3 linked regions of the Notamacropus eugenii genome follow. The protein of the gene in region 3 purifies or fractionates together with the protein of the main gene of each other region. This does not show direct contact. Links are inferred from orthologs where the notes say so. Each region holds a gene or a part of one and is shown on either strand. Other genes may lie near its edges.

What was found.
Region 1: the proteins of OS9 (region 3) and alpha-1-antiproteinase-like purify together in Homo sapiens (affinity purification with western blotting; 4 studies listed by BioGRID). This does not show direct contact. The link is inferred for Notamacropus eugenii from reciprocal best matches to the Homo sapiens genes OS9 and SERPINA1.
Region 2: the proteins of OS9 (region 3) and HSP90B1 purify together in Homo sapiens (affinity purification with mass spectrometry; 6 studies listed by BioGRID and IntAct, with this or other methods). This does not show direct contact. The link is inferred for Notamacropus eugenii from reciprocal best matches to the Homo sapiens genes OS9 and HSP90B1.

The regions. Positions count from the first base shown.
Region 1 is NC_092872.1:364,863,272-364,870,845, reverse strand, and holds the start of alpha-1-antiproteinase-like, read right to left. Parts: upstream 3,099-7,574; 5' UTR 2,960-3,098; intron 1-2,959.
Region 2 is NC_092874.1:286,659,664-286,667,637, reverse strand, and holds the start of HSP90B1 (endoplasmin), read right to left. Parts: upstream 3,103-7,974; 5' UTR 2,724-3,102; coding exon 2,672-2,723; intron 862-2,671; coding exon 759-861; intron 1-758.
Region 3 is NC_092874.1:233,054,224-233,061,559, reverse strand, and holds the start of OS9 (protein OS-9), read right to left. Parts: upstream 3,029-7,336; 5' UTR 2,958-3,028; coding exon 2,796-2,957; intron 2,277-2,795; coding exon 2,100-2,276; intron 1,505-2,099; coding exon 1,441-1,504; intron 1,323-1,440; coding exon 1,246-1,322; intron 1,022-1,245; coding exon 923-1,021; intron 657-922; coding exon 446-656; intron 332-445; coding exon 227-331; intron 33-226; coding exon 1-32. UniProt on the Homo sapiens protein: Lectin component of the HRD1 complex, which functions in endoplasmic reticulum (ER) quality control and ER-associated degradation (ERAD).

The sequences.
Region 1 (7,574 bases), on a different chromosome or scaffold from region 3:
GAGTTAAGTGACTTGCCCAAGGTCACACAGCTAGTGAGTGTCAAACGTACTGGGGCAGCTAGGTGGTGCAGTGGATAGAGCACCAGTGGAAGAGTCAGGAGAACCTGAGTTCAAATCTCACCTCAGATGCTTGACACTCACAGCTGTGTGACTTTGGGTAAGTCACTTATTCCCACTTGCCTCATCCTGGGTCATCTCCAGTCATCCTGATGAATATCTGGTCACTGGACTCAGATGGCTCTGGAGGAGAAGTGAGGCTGGTGACCTGCACAGCCCTCCCTCACTCAAAACAAAGTCAAGTGAAAGTCATGTCATCATTTCTCTGATTGAATGGTCTTTGGCAATGAAGGACGAACACACATAGAGGCTTCACAATCAACTTTGGACACAAATATGCAAAAATCTAACCCTAAAGAAGCCCCCTCTATTTCTTATTTTCCATGAGCTTTCAGTGGTAGTAAGGAAAAGTAAACTGGGTGAGATTAAAGAGAGATTGAACAGTTATAACGAGTTAAGTGATAAAGAGATAGAGATAGAGGCAATAGATAGAAAAACACTGTGTATGAAAGTCTGTGACTAAAGTAAAGAATATACCCAAATAAATATGAGGAAATGTGAGCACCGTGTTGCCCCATAGTAGGCACTTAATATATGTTTATTAATTGAATGGTGCAATGCAGAATGCAGTAAGGAAAGGAATTCTGCAGACAAGTTGCTGTGACAAATTTGGGGAAAGACAACTTTTATCTGGGGTGGTAGTGGGGACAGTCAGGGAAAACCTATCAGACATAATGCCTGGCACACAGTAGGTGCTTAATTAATGCAGGCTTATTAATTGATTAATTGAACTTAAAGTAAGTGAAAGGAGAATTCTGTGAATAAGGTTGGAAAAGGAGATTGAAACCTTTAATAGCTAGTTGAGGGGAACTACAGCTTTGGTGCAGTAGAAAGAGCAGTGTAATTAGAGTCTCAGGATTGGGGTTCTAATCCTGCCTCTGATACTTCTTATCAGACTTCTAATTAATTCTCTGTGTCTCTGGGGAAATTACTTAGCCTCTCTGGGCTTCACTCTCCTCATTTGTAAATTGAGAAAGTTATAGGGTATGTCCTCCCAGGCCCCTTATAATAGCTGCAATTCAAGTTTGTATTTTCTGTAGGTCACACTGAGTCAGTGTATATTTTCTTTGAGTGAAGAATGAAACTTCCAGATTTATGCATTAATAATAATACATATATGAAGATTTCTATTTTTCCTGTTCTGGCCCAGAGGGAAGAACCTGGAGGAACATTGCAAAAAGGCAAATTTATTCTTGAGGTAAGGAAACACTTCCTTCAAAACTTTCCTCTCCAAAAGAGGAATGGGCTCCCTTTGGAGAAAGCAGTCTCCCTTCACTAGAGGCCTGGAAAAAGAGACTGGTTGATGACTTATCTAGTATATTATATTGGGGACCTTGGCATTGGTGAGGATTATGAATTAGATTAATCCCTCTGAAAACTCTTCTGATTCTAAAAGATGTAAATTCTGTGACTTAAATTGACCCTCTACCTGGAAGGTCTTTTTTTATCTCTGCCAGGCCAAATCATGTTACCTTAGATCCTACTTCTTCCAAGTTGTTGAAACCATAGTGATGACTTCTCCTATTGTGTTTGCTTTATCTGAGAAGATAGAGCAGTCAATGACATCTAATGGTAAGTCAATGCATATCCTGTTTCTACAACTTGTTTGTCTCAAAGAGAGAGGAAGGTAGTGGAAAGCATGTTGGAACCAGAAGATCTATTTTCTAGTCATGGGGGCTGCCACTCCTTCTTTCATAGAGAAAATGAGGAGGTTGGGTCCCTTTTATTGCTGAAAGTAACGGAACCAGAATCACAGATTCTCAGCTTCAAAAGGGACTTCAAAGCATGACACTAAGTGACAATTATTCTTGTCCTCATTTTGTAGAGATAAGAACCCATGATTGTAGAGATAATAAGTGTTTGAGGCTAGATTCTCTTTAAGACATTTTGTAGAGAAGGTGGCAACCCACATTGGTAGAAGTTTTCTCATTTGGGAAACCCCTACAATTGAAATCACAATAGTATGAGTGTCTAATAATGCCATGGGCAGGTAGGTGGCTCAGTGGTTAGGACCCTGGGCTTGGAGGACTTATCTTCTTGAGTTCAAATCTAACTTCAGATACTCACTAAGTTGTATGACACTGAGCAAGTCAGTGTTTGCCTCAGTTTCCCCATCTGTAAAATGAACTGAGGAATGAAATGACCAACCACTCCAGTATCTTTGACAAGGAAATTTCAAAAGAGGTCCTGAAGAGTTCTGCATGCCTGAAATGACTGAACCACAACAACCAATAAGGCCTGCAGTATCTACCTATAGAGCTGTTGTGAAACTTAATGAGATAATATATGTAAGGCACTATATCAATTTGATTTGATTTATTTATTTGATTTATTGTTTGACTTGAGTTTTTACAACAACCTTTTAAGGTATATTGTGTCTATATTATTATTACCATTTATAGATAAGGAAACAGACTTCACTACAGAGGTCAGGCAAATGATCCAAGGGCACATGGCAAATGTCAAAGCAAAGATTTGAACCATACCTTGGGACCACAAGTTCAGCATTCTTTTTCTCATGGTAGACTGCCAAATAAAAGCAAGTTCTTCATAATCTGTTATTTTTTAAAAAGCTGCCTCAAGACCTTCTTGACAAAGGCTAAAACCTAGTTTGATTGGCTGGTTGTCACAAAGCCATGGCTATGATTATTCCTTCTGAGGGACCATGAACATAGGTCTTCTTCTTCCCCCTTTCTTTGGGAAGGTCTAGTTTTCTTTCAAAGAACTGAAATTCAGTCACTGTATATTCCGTTCTCCCTCACTTCCCTGAGGATTCCAAGCCCACCAGCTCTAGTGCAGACCACAGAGATTGAGGTTTTTAACAGGGGAATACATTACTTACCTCTCCTTCTCCAGAGTCCTGCAGTAACTCACCAGGAAGCTGACCCAGAACCTCTTGTTTCCTAGGGTGTTATTTAAATAGCTAAGTAGTTATGGAAAGGGGTGGATGAGACTCTTCTTCCAGTGAACATTAACTAGCATAACTGGTTATTTGTACAGAACAAACAATGACTAAGTCTGTTTGTCCATTTGTAATCTTGTTCCTTTCCATGCTCTTGCCATTCTCTCACAGTATCAGTTGGGGTGCAAGACGATTCTTCTTCTCATTATCCAAGGGAAATCTTTGACATTAAGTTTCTTGTCTTTTAAACTTATGTTCTTTGGACACAAGATCTTCCTAAAGTTCTAACATGTGTATCTAAATCCACTTTTAAGTGAATGGAGTGGGAAGATTCATATCCACTCTGGAAGAATTCCTACTTTTATTTTGCCTGTCTCCAAATCAGAAACTTCTAATGACTTCATTGGCCTTTGGAGAATGCCTCAGTAACATGTGACACTGAAAGGCTTCATAATCTGACCTCAATCTATGTAGATAGAGGTGTAGAGACACTTTCCTTTTTTTTTTTGGATAGAACAATCACTTCCCCTTCCCCATAGTCCTGTCACTGGAAAACCCACAGAAGCAAAAACATGGTTATATAAAAATATCTAACATAATAATTAGGAGTGATATCACATTTAACATTAAAGTGTAATAATTCCTCATTTTTTTTACAGAAAGAAGAGACATTTCTTTTCAAAATCAACCAGTTAGAATTAACACTGGTCATTATGTTCAGCCTGAATTCTGTTGTTTTTCTTTTATCTTTATTCACACATTTGGGGTTTAACCTATCTCTTTTGCATAATCAAAGCAAATTTTCTCTCCTAAAAGGCAGGTGGACCTACCTAAGGCAGAAATATCACCTGTAAGTAGAGTGGGACTCTGTCAACAAAACCCCATTGGGTGTGAAGGGAGGTTGCTAAGTTTAGGTTCTTATTTCTCTGAGATGCAGCCACAGATCCTGAGGTAGCTGAGATGGGCTGCTACAAAGTTTTTACTCCTGGTAACTGTCTGTCCAGGCTGCATACAAGCTCCTCATCAGAGATCTGATAATCTGGTTTTAGTCTGGAGATGGGATCACAGGGTGTTTCAGTCTTGTGTCATGAATATTAACTGAAACCTTAACAGGAACTTCAGGTCTTCAAAACTTTGAAGTGCTGTGAGGTAGAAAAAAAATAGATATTTTTTTCTGAGTAATTCCATATAGCAATTGGGGATAGTAGTGGTGAGAAATTATGAGCGCAAACTTTGCTTGAAAAGAACTTCCTAGTAGACAGAGGTGTTCCACAGTAAGTAGCTTGACAGAACTGATATCCAGAGAAATCTTGAAAGGGTAGAAAGAGGTGTCATATCTAAAGATGAAATCTAATTGATGTGAATATAAAATCTTACACTTGGGTTTTTTTAAAAAACCAATTTCAGAAAGAGAAAACAAAGAAAGATATGGCTAAAGACCATTTCTTGTGGGAAACATGGGACACCTGAGTGCGATACAAGCTTAATATGATGTAGCAGTGGAACATGAAAGCCCCTAATGGCAGTGTAAATTTAGGCTGCTTTAACAGAGGCTTAATATCCAGAACAAAGGAATTGATATTTCAATTGTTGTACCCTGCTCTGGTCAAAATTCTGGAGGATTGATCTGGGCACCACATTTTAGGAAGCTAAGAGTAAAACTGGAAAACATCCAGGTAGTCTGTCAATGAAAATATTTATTAATCTCTTCCCATGTGCCAAACACTGTCCTAATACAAAGAAAGGCAAAAGACAGTCATTGCTCTCAAGGAGTTCACAGTCAAATGGGACGAGAACTTGCAAAGAACAATGCACAAACACACTATATATGGGATAATTTGGAGGTAATTGATGGAGGAAATTTAATAGATTTGGGGGGAACTGGAAAGAGTTCCCTCTAGAAGGTGGGATTTTATTTATTTATTTATTATTTTTTAAAAATTAAATTATTTTATTTGTTTTCAGTGTTTGACAATCGCTTCCATATATCTTAGATTTTTTTTCTCCTCCCTCCCTCTCCCTTCCTGTGATGGCGTACAATCTTTTACAGGTTCTACACATACATTCCTATTAAATGCATGTTGCAAAGAAGAATTAAAATGAATGGGAGAAGCCATAAAACAAAACAAAACAAAATACAAAAGGAAATGGTCTCCTTCTATCTGTGATCCAATTTCATAGTTCTTTCTCTGGACGTGGAAGGTGTTTTTCCTCAAGAGGCCTTTGGAAATTTTTTAAGTCCTTGCATTGCAATGAAGTGCTAAGTCTTTCAGAAAAATTCCTCACACACTGTGGTTGTTGCTGTTTACAAAGTTCTTCTGGTTCTGCTCCTTTGACTCAGCATCAGATCATATAAGACCTTCCAGGCTTCTTTGAAGTCTTCCTGTTCATTGTTTCTCATAGCACAATAGTATTCCATTACATTCATGTATCATATACCATAACTTGTTCAGCCATTCTCCAATTGATGGGCATCCCCTTGATTTCCAGTTCTTGGCCACCACAAAGAGAGTTGCTATAAATGTTTTTGTACATGTGGGATCCTTCCCCATTTCTGTGATCTCTTTGGGATAGAGTTCCAGAAGTGATATTGCTGGGTCAAAGGGTATGCACATTTTTGTAACTTTTGGCATAGTTGCAAATTGCTCTCCAGAATGATTAGATCAGCTCACAGTTCTACCAACAATGAATTAGTGTTCTAACTCTCCCACATCTTCTTCAACGTTTATCATCTTCCTGATTTTCCTGTTAGCCAATCTGATAGGTGTGATGTGGTACCTCAGAGTTGTTTTGATTTGCATCTCTCTAATCAATAGTGATTTAGAGCATTTTTTTCATATGATTATAATAGCTTCTATTTCTTCTTCTGAAAACTACCTGTTCATATCCTTTGGCCATTTATCAATTGGGGAATGACTTGTATTCTTGTACATTTGACTCAGTTCTCTATATATTTTAGAAATGAGGCCTTTATCACAGACACTAGTTGCAAAAATTCTTTCCCAGTTTTCTGCTTCCTTTCTAATCTTGGTTGCATTGGGTTTGTTTGTGCAAAAACTTCAATTTAATGTAATCAAAATTATCCATTTTGCACTTCATAATGTCCTCTATCTCTTGTTGGGTCATATATTTCTCCATTCTCCATAATCTGACAAATACACTATTCTTTGCTCCCCTAATTTGTTTATAGTATCAATCTTTATACCTAGATCATGTATCCATTTGGATTTTATTCTTGTATATGGTATCAGGCATTGGTTTATGCCCAGTTTCCACCACACTGTTATCCAGTTTTCCCAGGAATTTTTGTCAAACAGTGAGTTCTTATCCCAGAAGCTGGGATCCTTGGGTTTATCAAACAGTAGATTGCTATATTCATTGACTACTGTGTCTTGAGTATCTAACCTATTCCACTCATCTACTCCTCTATTTCTTAGCCAGTACCAAGTGGTTGTGATGATTGGTCCTTTATAATACAATTTGATATCTGATAGGGCTAGGCCACAGAAGGTAGGATTTTAGCTGGTACTTGAAGGAAGTCAGGGAAGCAAGGAGGTGGAGAGGAGAAAGAGAAGCAGATTGATGAAGGCACTACAAGCCTCACCATAAGAGGAGGAGGAACGGGAGTGTCCTGTCCTGCAGATGACTTTAGAGAGAAACAGAAGCTAATTCCAGTAGTTGCTTGGGGCTCAGTGGCCATCACAGGGCAGCTATTGGACTGCAGTAGAAGAGATTCCCTTCCTTCTCTCTCCCTTCCCTCCCTCCCCCTTCATGGGATGAAAACTTTGCTTTCCAGTGTGAAGGGGAAAGGAGCAGAGGGTGAAGGAAAGCATATTATACTTATGGGCAAAGGCCTATTTTGTCAGATTATAGGTTGGGAAGCTGGAATAACTGTATTGATCCAAGGTAAATATTGACCGTAAGTTGAAATGAGAAGAAAGGATAGAGATTGTGATCCCAATGGAGAAAACCTTATTGAAGGTAGAGGATCAAGTTAGATTTCATCAGTTAAAATGTTATTAGACATGATCTGCTTTTGAAACTCTACTTTTTGCAAGAAGCCTTTTCATTTCTAGCTCTAGTGCTATTGATTGTCTCTAATTTATCCTGCATATATCTTGTTTGTACATAGCTGTTGCATGTTTTCTCTCCAATTAGACTGAGTCCCTTGATTCAGGGACTGTCTTTTTATTTTTCTTGATACTCCCAGGTCTCAGCACAGTGCCTAGTATATAGTAAGCACTTAACAAATACTTACTGACCAATTGACTCTGCTTGCTCCAAATGGTAGACCTAACAAAATCTGGTGAAAATTCCAGGGTTCAGTTTAAGAAAGTTTCTCCATTTTTGGAGGGAATTCCTATCCTAAAGCTTCATTGTGATATGTAAGGAATCTAGATTCTTGAAGGCTATGCCAAGAGAACATTAGTTCTGGCAAGTTCTACCATAATGGAAAGACTGGTGAGTTCTTTGTGTGTGGTAACTCATAAAACAAAGCAAAATATAAAGTGGCCCTCAGCTCTCTGCCTCATCCTTCCCACCCTCTTTCATTGCT
Region 2 (7,974 bases), about 54 Mb from region 3:
ATCTATAATGCATACTAATAAATAATTTGGGTAATTAACTCCAGCTTTACAATCTACCAACACAACTTTTCCCTTTTTTACAACCCCTTTGCCCTGAAATCTGCTCTTTTGCATAGGCACTTTTCTCCATCTAGTTTCTAAACTAAAACCACACTATTTGGCTGTCAACAGTGTTCTTGAATTATCTTTCAGCTGTTTAGGATACTTCAATGCTAGAATCTTATCTGTATTGTACTATAACGCACATGCGAATATGTAGGTTTTAAGGCAGAAATATATTCTTAGGTTCTATATATTTCCACCCCGCACTTCCAAATAAATAAATAAACAAATGCATACACAAACATATCCACACCCACCCAATAAGCAAGGACCAATAACCACTTATTCTCTGATTTATTGCTGATACTCCCCTTTTTACCCCATGGACATTAAATCTCTTCATTTGATATTAATTTCTGATAAGGAGTAGTTAATTATACTTGGACAAATTCGTTCTGATGCTTTATAAACCTGTTGCTCATCCTGGTCTTCAGTTCTACTGGACCAGCTGTAAGGGGGCCAAGAGGTAAAATTCAAAACAAGAAAACAAAATGAAACCTCACTTGCTTGTGCCTTTGGTAGAGAATAGAATCATTTCAATTTTGTTCAGATACCTGACAAAAGATTTCAGGTATCTTTTCTTTTTTCAGACTAGAGAACACAAACATCTGGCCCCATGTAGTAAGTCATCAAGACAGTTTCAGGTCACCACCAACCTCTGGACGACTTCGTCATCTGTCCGAGAAGCTTCTCTGCTTTTACCCAGATCTTCTTCTACCGTGGCTTCCACATCCACCTGGTCTTCTGCTTTCACTGCTCCTAAGGGAAAAGGACATTCCTGTGTGAGATAACTGGCTTTCCAGTCAAATGGAGCAGATTATCTAACAGGGGATGCAGGGTGGTAGGGAAAGGGGTGGGGCCCAGAAACCTTGGGAACATAGGACTGAACCCCAAAATCAGCTTCTGTTTCAAGGATTGGGGCTGAATAAAGGGATGACCAACTTCTCCACCCCATGCCTTCTCCACAGAAACAGACTTGCTAGCATTCTACTTGGAAAGTCCTGGGTTCAAGTGCCAGCCAGAATCCTTAGTATCTCTGTGACCACAAGTATGTCCTATCCCTTCTCTGGGCTTTTCCCCAGTCTCTAAATCAGATAGTTCTGGTGGTGAGACCCAAATGGACAACAAAGATACAAGCCCCTCAGCGGGCTTTACAAGGCTGGGTAGTTTAACTTGTTGCTTCGTGGCCCTAACTGTAAGCACCTGCCCATCACTGCAGAACAACAGCTCTTGCCACTGAGGTCTACAAAGAAGATCCAGGGAGGCCAAGCAGAGAAATCCGAGATCAAGGTCCCCCGGGGTCAGATAGTTCAACTGGAGACCCAAGGAGGGGAAAGGAACATATTCAAAGGGTCATCCAGCCCAGCATCCTCATTTTACAGAGAAGCAAACTGAGCCTCAGGGAGACTGAAGTAATGTGATTAAAGATTGTGTCAACAAGATGGATTTGAACCCCATTCCTCTGACTACAAAGCTAGCGTTATTTCCTCTGTACCTTGTCTAAAGTAAAGAATCAAACCCAGCTCTGCCTTTATAAGGCTCTGTACCAGATCAGCCCCTATTAGAGAGGGAATTCGAGGGGAGGGATGCTGACTTGACTTTCATCCTGGACTCCAAGGCTGGCCCTGCAGCCATCCTTCCGGTGCCTCAGCATCACTGTAGACAAGGTTTCCACCCCATCTCGATTCTTTCTTGCTGGCCCCCTTTCCCCGCTCCAAGTCCCCCTTAAAATCCTATCTTCTACCAGAAGCATTTCCCCACCCCCCTTAATTCCAGTGCCTTCGTTCCAGAACAAGACTCTAGAGATATCATGTAATATTAGAATGATAACGTAAATTAGAATAGTATTCAAATATTAGATTTCTAATAACACTAGAATAACAACAGAACATTGTATTACATATCCTATCTGTTCAGACATTTGCACGCGGTTACAGTGGGGCCCCTCGAAAGCAGGGACTTATTTTTTCCTCCCTGTGCCTCCTCCCTCTCAGCCCAGAGCCTGGCACATAGTAGGTGCTTAACGACCTCGGGTGGACCGTTTGATGAAGGCAGGTTTCCTGACTGGGTGAGGTTTTTTCCCCGGGGGAGGGGGGTCGCCACCAGCGGCTGGCACATAGTAGGCACTTCACTGAGATGACCTTTTCACAATTTGGGTAGCCTAGTCCCCCCCCCCCCCCTTTTTTTTGGCCTCTCCGCCACCTAATACGCTGACTATGTGGCCTTTCTCTGGACCAGCATCTCCATCTTTACGAATAAACTAAGGCTGGGTGGGGGGCGGCAGGCACGGACGGCCCACTGCCTCTCTAAACGGCGCCGCTCTCTCCACGTGGTCCTCCCCATTTTACAGGGAAGGTAAACTGAGGCCCCTCGGCTGCTCGCGCTCCCTCCTCACGGTCGTTCCCATTTCAGGGGCGGGGGACCCGAGACAAGGAGAGGAAGGCCTCGGAAGCCGCAGGCGGGCCGGGCCCCGGCAGGCAAAGCGCTCCAGGCGCGGCCACTGGGGGTAGGCCCCGGGGGAGCCGCGGAGCCTTCCCGAAGGCCCGGCCCCCGCCGCCTCCTCACTCACCGCAGGCCAGCAGCAGGACGCAGCAGAGGCCCAGCAGCCATAGGCCCTTCATCGCGGCGGCGTGGGTCAACTCCGGCACGGCGCGGCGCGTCAAGCTCCGGCTCACGGCTTCGTCCTCCGTCCGCCTCCCCTGGCGGGGTTCTGCTCCTCACGCCCTGGGTTGCGGCAGCGGCGGCACAGAGGGCAGCGACAGCGACGCGATCCGCCCACCACCCCCCAAGCCGGGCAGCTCGCTTTTCACCCCCCACTCCTTGCGGGCGGGGGACGGGAAACACGAACCGGCCAATAACGCCGCACCACGCACCCCGCGCGGCCAATGGGAAGCAGCGGAGGGGGGGAGGAGGCGGTGATTCACCAATGACAGCCCTCCAGGTGAGGGGCCCGAGGGCCGAAGCGTGGCTCCGCCTGATTGGCCCACGAAAGCTACGTCGAGCCCGACCAATCACCGGCCTCCGCGGGCCCCTAGCTCGGGCGGCTCCGACAGAGGACGAAGGTCGACCAATGAGCGCGAGCTCAGGGAGAGCCTCCCTCTCCCCTTCCTTGGGGTGAAGTCGCGCTCCGGAAGCACTTCTAAACCTTCCTCGACCGCGTTTACCCCGTTACTAGGGAAACGGTGTCCATGGCAACACGTTCTTCGCTTTTCCTCCCCCGAAGAATACGTTGAGAGTCGTATAAGGCTCCCAGTTCGGCTAGCCCCAAGTAAGCCCTGCCCCGGTTGCCGCAGGCTACTCGGGCGGGTGGCTTCTCGGGAAACAGGAATTTCAGGAGTTCGAAGAGCTAGTGCCCAAAGAGACCGAAGAGGAGGGAGGAGGGGGGCGGGGCGAAGCCGAGCACCCCGCGAGAAACTACATATCCCAGCATGCAATGTCCCCAGAACTACACTTAGGTGCATGCCGGGAAAGGGCCTGGGCTTGCCTCCTGGGCTAACCATGTGCGTACTCTGATTTCTCGTGGCCTTCTAACCCTTCCAAGCTTGGTCCCCCAGCGCATGCCCCTGCCCTTGGGAGCCCGGCTTGGGGTAGGAGGGCAGAGATAAAAAAGCATGAAGCTTGCCCCTCTTGCCCTCCTCCCTCCTCCTAACCTGACCCTCTATATAAGTCACTTAGTCCTGGATGTAAAGGTGGAAGAGTCCCCGCAGGGGTTTAATCTTACTTCTTCCCTTGACAGATGAGGAAACTGAGGCCCAAAGAGGGAAAGTGACCTGCTAGGAGCATAGATCCAGGGCTGAGACGGGACCTCTGAGATAATGCAGCCTAGAGCCCGTCACTTGACAGATAAGGGAAACTGAGGCCCAGATCGGCCCAGGCCTGGCCCCAAGGTCACACAGCTCCTTTAAAGGGGGTCAGCTGTGTAATCTCAGTGTCATTTCCTCCCACAGCATGCAGGGAGCCCCTGATGTCCAAGCTGCTTCATGTCCCCTGGCCAGAAGTCTGTGACACCCTCCCAGATTCGCTTGGAAGGAGAGGGCTTGTGACCTTCCCTCCAGTCTCAGGGAAATTCTGTGCTTGTGAGCTGTCCCAAGCTCACCACCTCAGGTACAAAGACTTTTCCTGGAAAGTAACCATCCCTTAGGTAAATTAAGTTTTGACTGAGCCCTGGGGAGCCTGAAGCCGCATTATTTGCCAAGGGCCCAGCTCACCTTCATCTCCTCTCTTGGTCACAGTTAGGGGGAATGGGAGTGGGAGTGACCTTTGGGGGGAGGGGGCGAGACTTCCAGCAGCACCCAGTACCTGCTCCATCACAGTTATGACCCCTCACCTTGTACCAGACCCAGGGGACCGGTGTGAACTGAACTGTCCAAATTAGACGACACAGAAGGAGGAAGCCAAGTCCCAAATGAGTGCTCAGAGGATGCACCTGCAGAGCATTTGAAAGCAAAACCTGTGATGAAGCTGATGAGGTAGTGTTAACTCCTCGGTAGCTGGTAAGTGAAACACGTTGCTTATTTTCTTTCACAGGCACCTTTGCTGGATAGGGCCATCAGTTACTAAATTGGGGGAAACATCTTGGGTTTCTCCTTAGAAACATTTTACAAATTCCTAATCTTAGGAAATCATCTGATCGATCAATATTTACAAGCACCTGCTGGGTTTCAGGCACTCCAGTAAACTCCCAGAGATACAAGAAGAGGCAAAAGATAATCCCTACCCTCAAGGAGTTTCCGATCTAAGAGACAGAGTGTAGATAAATTATACAAAGCAAGCTATGATACTGGATAAATAGAAAATAATTGGAAGAGTTTTATCTATATTTAAAATACATTTATTTTACATACATATATTACACACCCACATATATTTCTAGCACTCCCTTTTTTGAAAAAAATAATGCCTTCATTTTAGTTTTGTAAGCTATCACTACTACATGGGACCTTAGGGGAAATAAGCTTTTTAGTAATTTCTTACAAGTATGACATTAGAATGCCAGTAGGTCACCTGTTTGTGGTTCCTGTTTGTTGACTCATTGTGGTAAACTGTTTACCTCTGCTTGGATTAGCTGTATTTGTTATTAGTGAGCACACTTAGTTTTTTAAAAAGCCTCAATCCATGTCTGTTGAGCTTCTTCCTTTGCCAGGCTTTTTTTTTTTTTTGTAGTTTATTCGTATTTTTTGTGTTCCATTCATTTCTGAACATTCCCATTCTCTACCCAGCTAGCCTTATTTCCCTTGTAACAAGATTTTAGAAAGAAAGAACAAGGAAACAGTTCAGCAAAACTAAGTAACACATGAACTGTGTCTGAGAGAATATGCAAAATAAGGATTAAATTTTCATAATTGTGATTTGGTTCATATGGAATGCAAACACTGGTGTTCTGTAGCTTTGGTGAGAAAGGACTGCTAAATAAACAAGTGGACAGTAGGAATTAGTTCAAAAAAGCAGCCTAGCAGAGGTTAATACTCTGTGGCAAGTCTACCAAAGATGATTCTGAGGTACGTTCACTGGCTAGTCCAGTTAAAGGCATTGCATGTGTATCAGTTGGTAATGATAACCAACTGATGGCTCAGATGGACCTCAGAAGAGAGAGATCAGTGTGTTTTTTGAAGTTCCAAGCCCTTAAGTTAGGGGTCTTGCAACATAAAGGGATGAAGAAGGAAGAGAATTTCCTTTATTCCTAGGCTCCATCCTAGGGGTGAACTCAACTCCCTTAAGGTGTTAAATTTCGCAACCTTTTCTCCTTTCAAAAACTACGTTATCCTTCCCACCCTTCTTCTTTTTTTCTGTGTATTTTTTCTCTCTCTACCCAATAGCCAAATGGGGTGGAAGCTAGAGCGTGGAGATAAGGTCACTATTTTCTTGATTGTCTTTTCTGGACCACCCTCTGCCTACACCACACTAATGCTCCATTTCCCCATTCCAGACTCATGTTGAGATGACCAATGTATGATGACTTTTGATGGCGGTTAGAAGATTAACTGGTTAAGGGGGAGCTGAAATAGAAATAAATAAACAAATTCTTGGCTGCCAGACTTCTGAAAGGGTGTATATGTTTTTTTTTTTTGGGGGGGGGTATGGAATAGGGTCCATATAGTTTCAGCTATTTTCCCTACAACTTTTTATATTCGTTGTTAATGCCATACAATGATGGTCAGTAATTCATACTGATAACCTTAAGACTATATGGGATTCTGAAGTGCCTGCAGAATAATTAAGAATTAAATTGAGGTTCAGGATAATTTTAGCATTAGGTGTATTTTTTTTGTATTTCATTTTTAAAAATTAGCAATTGGTGTATTGAGTCATGTTGAGGCATTTGAAGTTGACCACACCTTCCTAGTGAAATTAACCTAGCCGTTCTCCCTGCCATTCTCGATATGGGAGTTTGCTTTAATTCAATGCTAATAACTCCTGATTTAGAAACATTAATTATAATTATGAACTAATTTTAAAATATAGGAGGGAGACTGGACTTGTGATTTCCTTGGTGTAGGGAACTCCCTCTGCTAATGCAGGTCAGCGTGTTCTTTTCAACTTAGAGTCTTTAAGAGATGCCTCAGTGGTTCAGTGACTTGTCACTTAACAAGTAGGTGTTGTAGGACGCACTTGAATCCAAGGCTCCTTGGCTTGGAGGCCTGCTCTCTCTCTTTACTAGGCCTGCTGCCTCTCACTTATAAACAGATAGCATTGTATTATTTTGTTATTGGGCTTCATCTTTGATATTAGCAATGTCAAGCTGGCTCAGTTGGTTGATTCTTAGCTAGTAGTGGGTTGGTACCTTTAAAAAGTAGCATCTTGACAGCTGCAAATGCTTTCTGTAATGTTAAACAAATGATCAGACATAGATTGCAAATAATACCAACTCTAGAGCTCTCTCTTAACTCCAAGACCATCCTCCTCATCCCCAATTTACAGTCTTCAGTGTAAGGACTGTGGACCAGTACACAGGTGATCCAGTTAAGTGCCTACGTTGCCAATTGTGCACCCAAGTAGGCACTCAGATTCCCAACAAATTTAGAGGAAGTCAGAAAACAAGACTTAACATTTGGCTAAAGTCTGTGTGCTTACTGTGTGCCAGGTACTGTGCTGAGCTACAAAGAGGCAAAAACCTCTGCTGTGCAGGAGCTCATCTTCTGATGCTCCAATAGTGTTTAAATAAGGCAGCTTGAAAGAGGATGGATGGCTTTGGCAGCTGGGGGAATTATAAAAGGAGGGGAGATTTAGCAGAGTTGAAGGAATCCAGGGAAACTAAGGGAAAGGGAGGAGCCAGAATATTTCCAACCTTGGAGGATACCCTGGGGAGTAGGCAGAGTCCTTAGCTTTCTGACCAGCCTATGGTTTTCCCAGATAAGCCCTCTGCTCTTGCTGGCTGCAGACACAGTCTCATAGACTTTACCCCTCCCTCTCCTGTCTCAGGTCACCCTGGGAGGATGCCTCTGCTTCCATTGGCTTTACTAGGGGCTTCCTTTCCTATATCTCCCAAGGTCCAGTGACCTCTTGTATAGTCCTGGGTGGACTAAACCACTTGTAATAGTTTTCTTTGGATTTCTTGATCATTATTCAGTTTGGTGCAAACCTTAGACTTTCTGGAGTAAGTGTGGGAGATGGCCTCCTATTCAGGTAGATGTCTTCACCAGGTGTCATCTCTAATGCCATGTTCCTAACAAAAGATAAAACTTCATGAAGAGAACATTGTAGAAGTAGAGCTAGAAGAGGGACTTGAGCTATTCAGAAATATACCATTTTCTTATGCTGGTTCTTCCTAGTACCTTTAGTTCCGATTGAAAAGGCAGAGTTATCATGTGAACAATAAAATAGTCCCTAGGTAGAGAGGTCTAGAAGTCACTGCCATGACCTGGGTCACCTCCA
Region 3 (7,336 bases):
TTCTCCAGGGTCACCCTTGGGTGGGGTCATACCTGGGAGTAGGAATGGGACAAAGCAAGGTCTGAAGAGAAAAAGGAAATGCGGAACTACACCTGCACCTCCTCTGTATGGATCTCAACAGGTGGAACAAAGCAGTCAAGATAGATGGCACCCCCTTCCCTTCCCAGGAGCTACTAAAACTAGCAGAGAAGAGCCACCTCACAGGATAACTGAGAGGAAATATGACCTGTTCCCTTTGTATCGAGGACCCCAAACTGTGTCTCACTCCACATTTCAAGGTCTGGGTTGTGAAGCTTCTCAGAGATTTCTTCAATTTTCTGCTTTGCATCTACTGGAAAAAAATAAAAAGGGAAATTAATTGGAGAGCATGAGACTAGGTGTTCAAAATATTCCCTCTCTCCCCACTCCTCTCCTTCAAATATATCCCAGTCCCCCTGAGACTCACACACTTGTCCCTGGATATATGCTCCATACTGCTCTGGCTGTAAGGTAGGGTGACATCGGATGGCCTGGGGGGCAGCACTTGGAGGAGGTCGAAGAAGAGGATGGGAGCAGAGTCGAGGGGTTCGAATAGTGAGCACATAAGAACATGACTGAGGTTCATCTACCCGATCAATGTAATCCCCCGAAGCATCTGAACCTTCATCACACAGAAACTGACCGAGAGAGAGCAAGTTAATTCAGGAGGGATTGGAATAATGGCAACTCTATTGTTGCTACTGGGGAGTGGCAGGGGAAGATTTGAAAAGGGAAATAAAAGCCTGCATTATATAGAGAATTAACTAGAGTGACAAGCCAGAGAAAGGAGCATCAGATAGTTAAATCTTTGGGGACTGGCCCCTAGAAGACAATTCTACTCTGTCTCCTCACAGTTCAAGTGCTTTGTTATGAGAAGAGATGGCTTCCATTTCCCTAGACTCACCCGGACTTCAGTCTCTCTGGGCCGACCATTCAGGTCACACTTGGAGCCATTTCCATAGTGCTGACTATGGTAGCGTTTCAGACGGTGTTGCTTGGAGGCCTGATATGTAGAGGTGGGGGGGAGGGGAGGAAATATGATAAAGTAGGAGGGGCAGCCCTGAAAATGCTAAAATATTTGAAAAAGGCCCTAGGAGCTAAGACTGAATGGTCATTCAACCCTGAGAAGCTAGTTTGACTCACCCAGACCCATTCCCTATTCCCCAGAGATCTCAAGACTCCAACCAGGATCCTTACTTTCCCTCCCAACTCTCCAACCACCACTACCTTGGCAGTCTCATCATCCCAGTTGAAGGAAGATTGGTAATATCCAAGATAAAGAACAGAACCTTTGATCTCTGAATCTAGAAGAAACACCAAAGGGTAGAATTGTTACTCTTCTGTAAGGTAAGAGGTCAGAATAAGGTGGGTTACCCTTCATCTAGTATTGCAGTGGGAGAGTGAAGGAATTAGAGGAATCACCTTCCATGTGGTATTGCTGTATGTGGCGTCCATAACAAAATTCATATGTCCACCAGTCCTTGGTCTAACAATGACAAAGTTAACAGTCAGTAGGGATGTGAGGAGGGGGAGGGGGAAGTCTGTCCAGCTCTTAAGATGCTTTCGTCCACTTTTGTACCTTCCTTGGCAGGGAATCCTTTATGTTCTCTATGGAAGAGGATCCCTTACTGCCCCTTGATCTCCCTGTTTCTAGGTATTTCTTCAAAGCTTCCTTGCAGTCTAAACTTCCTCCACCTGCAATTTCTGCCCTCCCCTCTCATTGTGCCTTTCATGAGAAGAGGAAACAATCACATTTCTTTAGAGATCCTCCGCTTTTAATTTTATCCCCACCCCTCAACTTCTCCCTCTGTCGATAAACTCCTCCTCCCAAACACTCTAATCTCATTCTAATACTATTACTCCTTCTATCCCCCAACATTCTATTAGGTTGTGCTTGGGGTCTATCCCGAGTATAGGGTTATTTTTGTCCTCATCACTGCCTTTACTCTTGGGTGGCCTGTTTATACCCACCCTGCCCTAGTCCCTATACCCCTTCTTCCTCAACAGCCCACCCTCCAGGCTTTCCACTCTAATTTAATTTGCTGTCCTGCCCTCCTTTTCCCTCCTCCAGCCCCATTCACTTTCACTAGGCAGGGCGCCTCTCTCATTGGGTTCAGCAGCTCAGGGACTCCAGGCCCTTTATAAGGAGGGGCCTCCTCCTCATGCTCCCGCTGGAAGTGAATGGCTCCAGCTGGTAGACGGCATTCGTATCGCTGTTTGTACTTGGAGGAGACAATCACGACCTCTGAGGACTGGCTCTGGAAGAGGAGAGAACACAATTTGGGGGGTCAGAGGTAGAACAGAGGGACAGAGGCTGACGGAGATCGTTGACAACAATGACAATCCGAGCCAAGCCTGGAAGACGAACGCAGCAGTCAGAGAGGAAAATGGGAACTATGGGAGGGAAGGGCTGGCATGGTCAGCGTGCGCACGGGGAATGCTCCGTGCATTTTGTTTCTTTCTGCGACACCGGGAGGCCCGGCTTGCTCCCCCGCCTCCGACTCACAAGGGGAGCCAGGATCTCATTTTCCCTTTCGGGGACTCAGTTTCCCCATCTGTAAAGCGGAGGCTCTGCGGCTGGACGATGTCCGAGGTCGCCAGCCCTCCTCCGCAGAGGGATGGAGCGACGCCTCTCAGGGTCCTCCTCCATACCTCCCCTCGCCTCGCCCTCGTCTCTCGGGGTCCTCGGTCTCCTGTCGCCCCCTCCCCCGGACGCCCCACCCCAGCCCCTGGCCCCAGCTCCCCCCCTCCCCGCCTCCTGCTCCCCCGGGGCTCACCTGACCCCCGATGACAGGCCGCGGCAGGATCTCGATGCCGTATCGCATCTCATTCAGCTCCTCCAGGTTCAAGCTCCCGACTACGCAGGCCGGCAGCTCTGACAACAGCGGCCCCAGGAGCAGAGGCCATAGCAGCCGAAAGAGCAGCGACGTCGCCGCCATCTTTCGTCCCTCGACCCTAACCCGAAAGCGGCCGCTTCCGCCCTGAACCGGGCAGCCGCCTCGCCCTTCCCCCTTACGCCTGTGGATCTCACTAGTCCTCGCTTATGCCCGTCATGGAGACGCGGGCTCCTATTGGTCTACGTGATGTCGGACAGTATGTATGAGAGCGACGGACTGGCGGACAGACGAGAAGGACTGACGGAAAGATGGACGGAGGGAGGGACAGAAAGACAGAAAGACCGGCTGACGGACGAGAGCAGGGCTGGTGGTGGTGGTGGGAGGGAGTGGGAAGAGGTGGGCTTCGGCTCTGAGATTTCCAAGGCCTCTTACCTGCCGAGAGTGGATTGGCTGGAGTCAGCGCTGAGTCAGCCAATAAGAAGCTAGGTCAGCAGCTCTCCTCTAAAAGGGGCGTGCCTGAACGGAGGACTCAGGGGCCGAGGTATCCCCCTGACCGGGACTTGCTGTCAGATCTAATCCTTCTTCGTTACCTCTGCGGCTGGGCGGGGCAAGGAAGAGGAGCTGGCCAGCCGCTCTGCAGCGGGACCGGCCACCTGCTGGCAGGACAATGGGGCCGGATTCTGCGACCCTGAGTGTCGCATAAAAACGGGAATAAGCATTTTAATAAAGATCAAAATGAACCTCTGGCTGCAGTGCTACTATGATGGAATGATACGCGAAGGGATAACTGGAATGACGTCTAATTGTTACCCTAATGACTACAAAGTGCTGTGCGACCCTGGGAAGGTCGCTCATCCTCAGTTTCCTCATTTGCATAATGGAGATAATTATAGCACCTGCCTCAGAGTTGTGAAAATAACAGATGTAGAGTGCTTTGCAACCTTTGACAGCAATAATGATTAATAATGTCTATTTAATTTGTAACCCTGGGAGCACCTTTCCTCCCAAAGTCTTTAAAATGGACATCCATTGCATCCGGGCCATCACCAGTCATCTTGGTTTTTGTCCTGTCACTGGAATTTGATGGTTTTGGAAGGGAGAGTGAAGTTGACGTCTTTTTCCAACTGTGCCTCACTAAAATCCATTCTTACTAGCAAGTCAAGATATCACCCAAAACATTGTGATTTCATTGCTTCTCTTCAAAAAAAGAAGGATGAACAACAAGGGTGATTTGTTTGTTGGACCAAGGTTTCTATCTTCTGCCAGGCAGATATCACTTACATACCCCTACCTAGTTGCCATGGTATTCTGATGACCTTGAACCAGGTGTTTTGTGAAGCTCAAATAAGATAATGGATATAAAACATTCTGCAAATTATTATTATAGTAATATGTTATATTTATATTATATTACATTGTTATACAATATATTAATTTAATTAATAATTATTATCATTATTATTTATAGTCTCCAGTCTTCTAGTCTGGTAATGACTTCATTCTCTGAGTCTTTTACTGCATTCCTGCTTAGTTCAAACAACATTTATAAAACGATACAGGAGTGTGCCATTAAATGTTACATAACTGGGCTCTCCCAGGGGTAAAAAAAATGTGTGCACAAACACTCTTAAGGTTAGTCTACATTATTAAAACTTTTTGAAGTTCAGAAATCAACAAAAATAAACAAATCAAGGCCTGATTTGTAGCAATTGACAATTTCTGAGGTATCAGTACTCAAACTGAAAATTTAATAATCAACTCCTTTAATAATCAAGTTGCTTTCAAGAAGCAAGGGTGGAACAGATACATATTGCCCAAGAACAAGCCATTATAACTGTGCTAGAGGAGCTGCCTTGAGGCTCTGACTAAGGATCAAGGCCTTAACTGCCTTTAGGCCTTGCAGCTGGTTTTGAGCTGATGTGGTATTGGTTGTTGGTGGTGGTTGTTGTCTGTCTTCAAAGAGGACCAAAATGACATCACTGGGATAAAGTGAAATTTCAATATGTCTGACTGTGGGTGATCAGACCAATATGAGCTCAGAATGCTTTACCACAGGTTGGGCACAGATAATCCATGTGAATATTTGGGGTGGATATCCCAAATTTGCGCATCTTATGTTTACTTTGTGCTGTCTCAATTCTGCTTTGCTCAAAGAGCACAGCACCCTTTCTGATGTGGGCACGCCATGCTGAGCAGTCCTGTGCCAGTAGAGTAGTAAAGATTATGTCATTATCTGAAGACAGTGATTGGCCAGATGCAAGCTAAAGAGACAATTTCTTTTTATTTTTTTTATTATTTTTTTTATTTAACTTTTAACATTCATTTTCACAAAATTTTGGGTTCCAAATTTTCTCCCCATTTGTCCTCTCCCCCCACCCCAAAACACCAAGCATTCTAATTGCCCCTATCACCAATCTGCCCTCTCTTCTATCATCCCTCTCTGTCCTTGTCTCCATCTTCTCTTTTGTCCTGTAGGGCCAAATAACTTTCTATACCCCTTTACCTGTATTTCTTGTTTCCTAGTAGCAAGAACAGTACTCGACAGTTGTTCCTAAAACTTTGAGTTCCAACTTCTCTTCCTCCCTCCCTCCCCACCCCTTCCCTTTGGAAGACAAACAATTCAATATAGGCCATATCTGTGTAGTTTTGCAAATGACTTCCATAATAGTTGTGTTGTATAAGACTAATTTTCTTTCCCTCCATCCTATCCTGTCCCCCATTACTTCTATTCTCTCTTTTGATCCTGTCCCTCCCCATGAGTGTTGACCTCAAATTGCTCCCTCCTCCCCATGCCCTCCCTTCCATCATCCCCCCTACACTGCTTATCCCCTTATCCCCCACTTTCCTGTATTGTAAGATAGGTTTTTGTACCAAAATGAGTGTGCATTTTATTCCTTCCTTTAGTGGAATGTGATGACAGTAAACTTCATGTTTTTCTCTCACCTCCCCTCTTTTTCCCTCCACTAAAAAGTCTTTTGCTTGCCTCTTTTATGAGAGATAATTTGCCCCATTCCATTTCTCCCTTTCTCCTCCCAATATATTTCTCTCTCACTGCTTGATTTCATTTTTTTAAGATATGATCCCATCCTCTTCAATTCACTCTGTGCACTCTGTCTCTATGTGTGTGTGCATGTGCATGTGCATGTGTGTGTGTGTAATCCCAGCCAGTACCCAGATATTGAAAAATTTCAAGAGTTACAAATATTGTCTTTTCATGTAGGAATGTAAACAGTTCAACTTTAGTAAGTCCCTTCTGACTTCTCTTTGCTGTTTACCTTTTCATGCTTCTCTTCATTCTTGTGTTTGAAAGTCAAATTTTCTTTTCAGCTCTGGTCTTTTCATCAAGAATGCTTGAAAGTCCTCAATTTCATTGAAAGACCAATTTTTCCCCTGAAGTATTATACTCAGTTTTGCTGGGTAGGTGATCCTTGGTTTTAGTCCTAGTCCCTTTGACTTCTGGAATATCCTATTCCATGCCCTTCGATCCCTTAATGTAGAAGCTACTAGATCTTGTGTTATCCTGATTGTATTTCCATAATACTTGAATTGTTTCTTTCTAGCTGCTTGCAATATTTTCTCCTTGACCTGGGAACTCTGGAATTTGGCCACAATGTTCCTAGGAGTTTCTCTTTTTGGATCTCTTTCAGGCAGTGATCTGTGGATTCCTTGAATACTTATTTTGCCCTCTGGTTCTAAAATCTCAAGGCAGTTTTCCTTGATAATTTCATGAAAAATGATGTCTAGGCTCTTTTTTAGGTCATGGCTTTCAGGTAGTCCCATAATTTTTAAATTGTCTCTCCTGGATCTATTTTCCAGGTCAGTTGTTTTTCCAATGAGATATTTCACATTATTTTCGATTTTTTCGTTCCTTTGGTTTTGTTTTGTAATTTCTTGGTTTAACATAAAGTCATTAGCTTCCATCTGCTCCATTCTAATTTTTAAAGAGCTATTTTCTTCAGTGAGCTTTTGAATCTCCTTTTCCATTTGGCTAATTCTGCTTTTGAAAGCATTCTTCTCCTCATTGGCTTTTTGAACCTCTTTTGCCAGTCGAGTTAGCCTATTTTTCAAGGTATTATTTTCTTCAGCATTTTTTTGGGTCTCCTTTAGCAAGGTGTTGACCTGCTTCTCATACTTTTCTTTCATCTCTCTCATTTCTCTTCCCAGTTTTTCCTCCACCTCTCTTACTTGATTTTCAAAATCCTTTTTGAGCTCTTCCATGGCCTGAGCCCATGGTATATTTATTTTGGATGTGTGGGATACAGAAGCCTTGACTTCTGTGTCTTTCCGTCATGGTAAGCATTGTTCTTCCTCATCAGAAAGGAAGGGAGAAAATATCTGTTCACCAAGAAAGTAACCTTCTATAGTCTTATTTTTTTTCCCTTTTCTGGTCCTTTTCCCAGACAGTGACTTGCCTTCTGAGTTTTCTTTCCACCCCCACCTCACCTCCAGATCCACCCAGCCAGTGCTTGGGGTCTGAGATT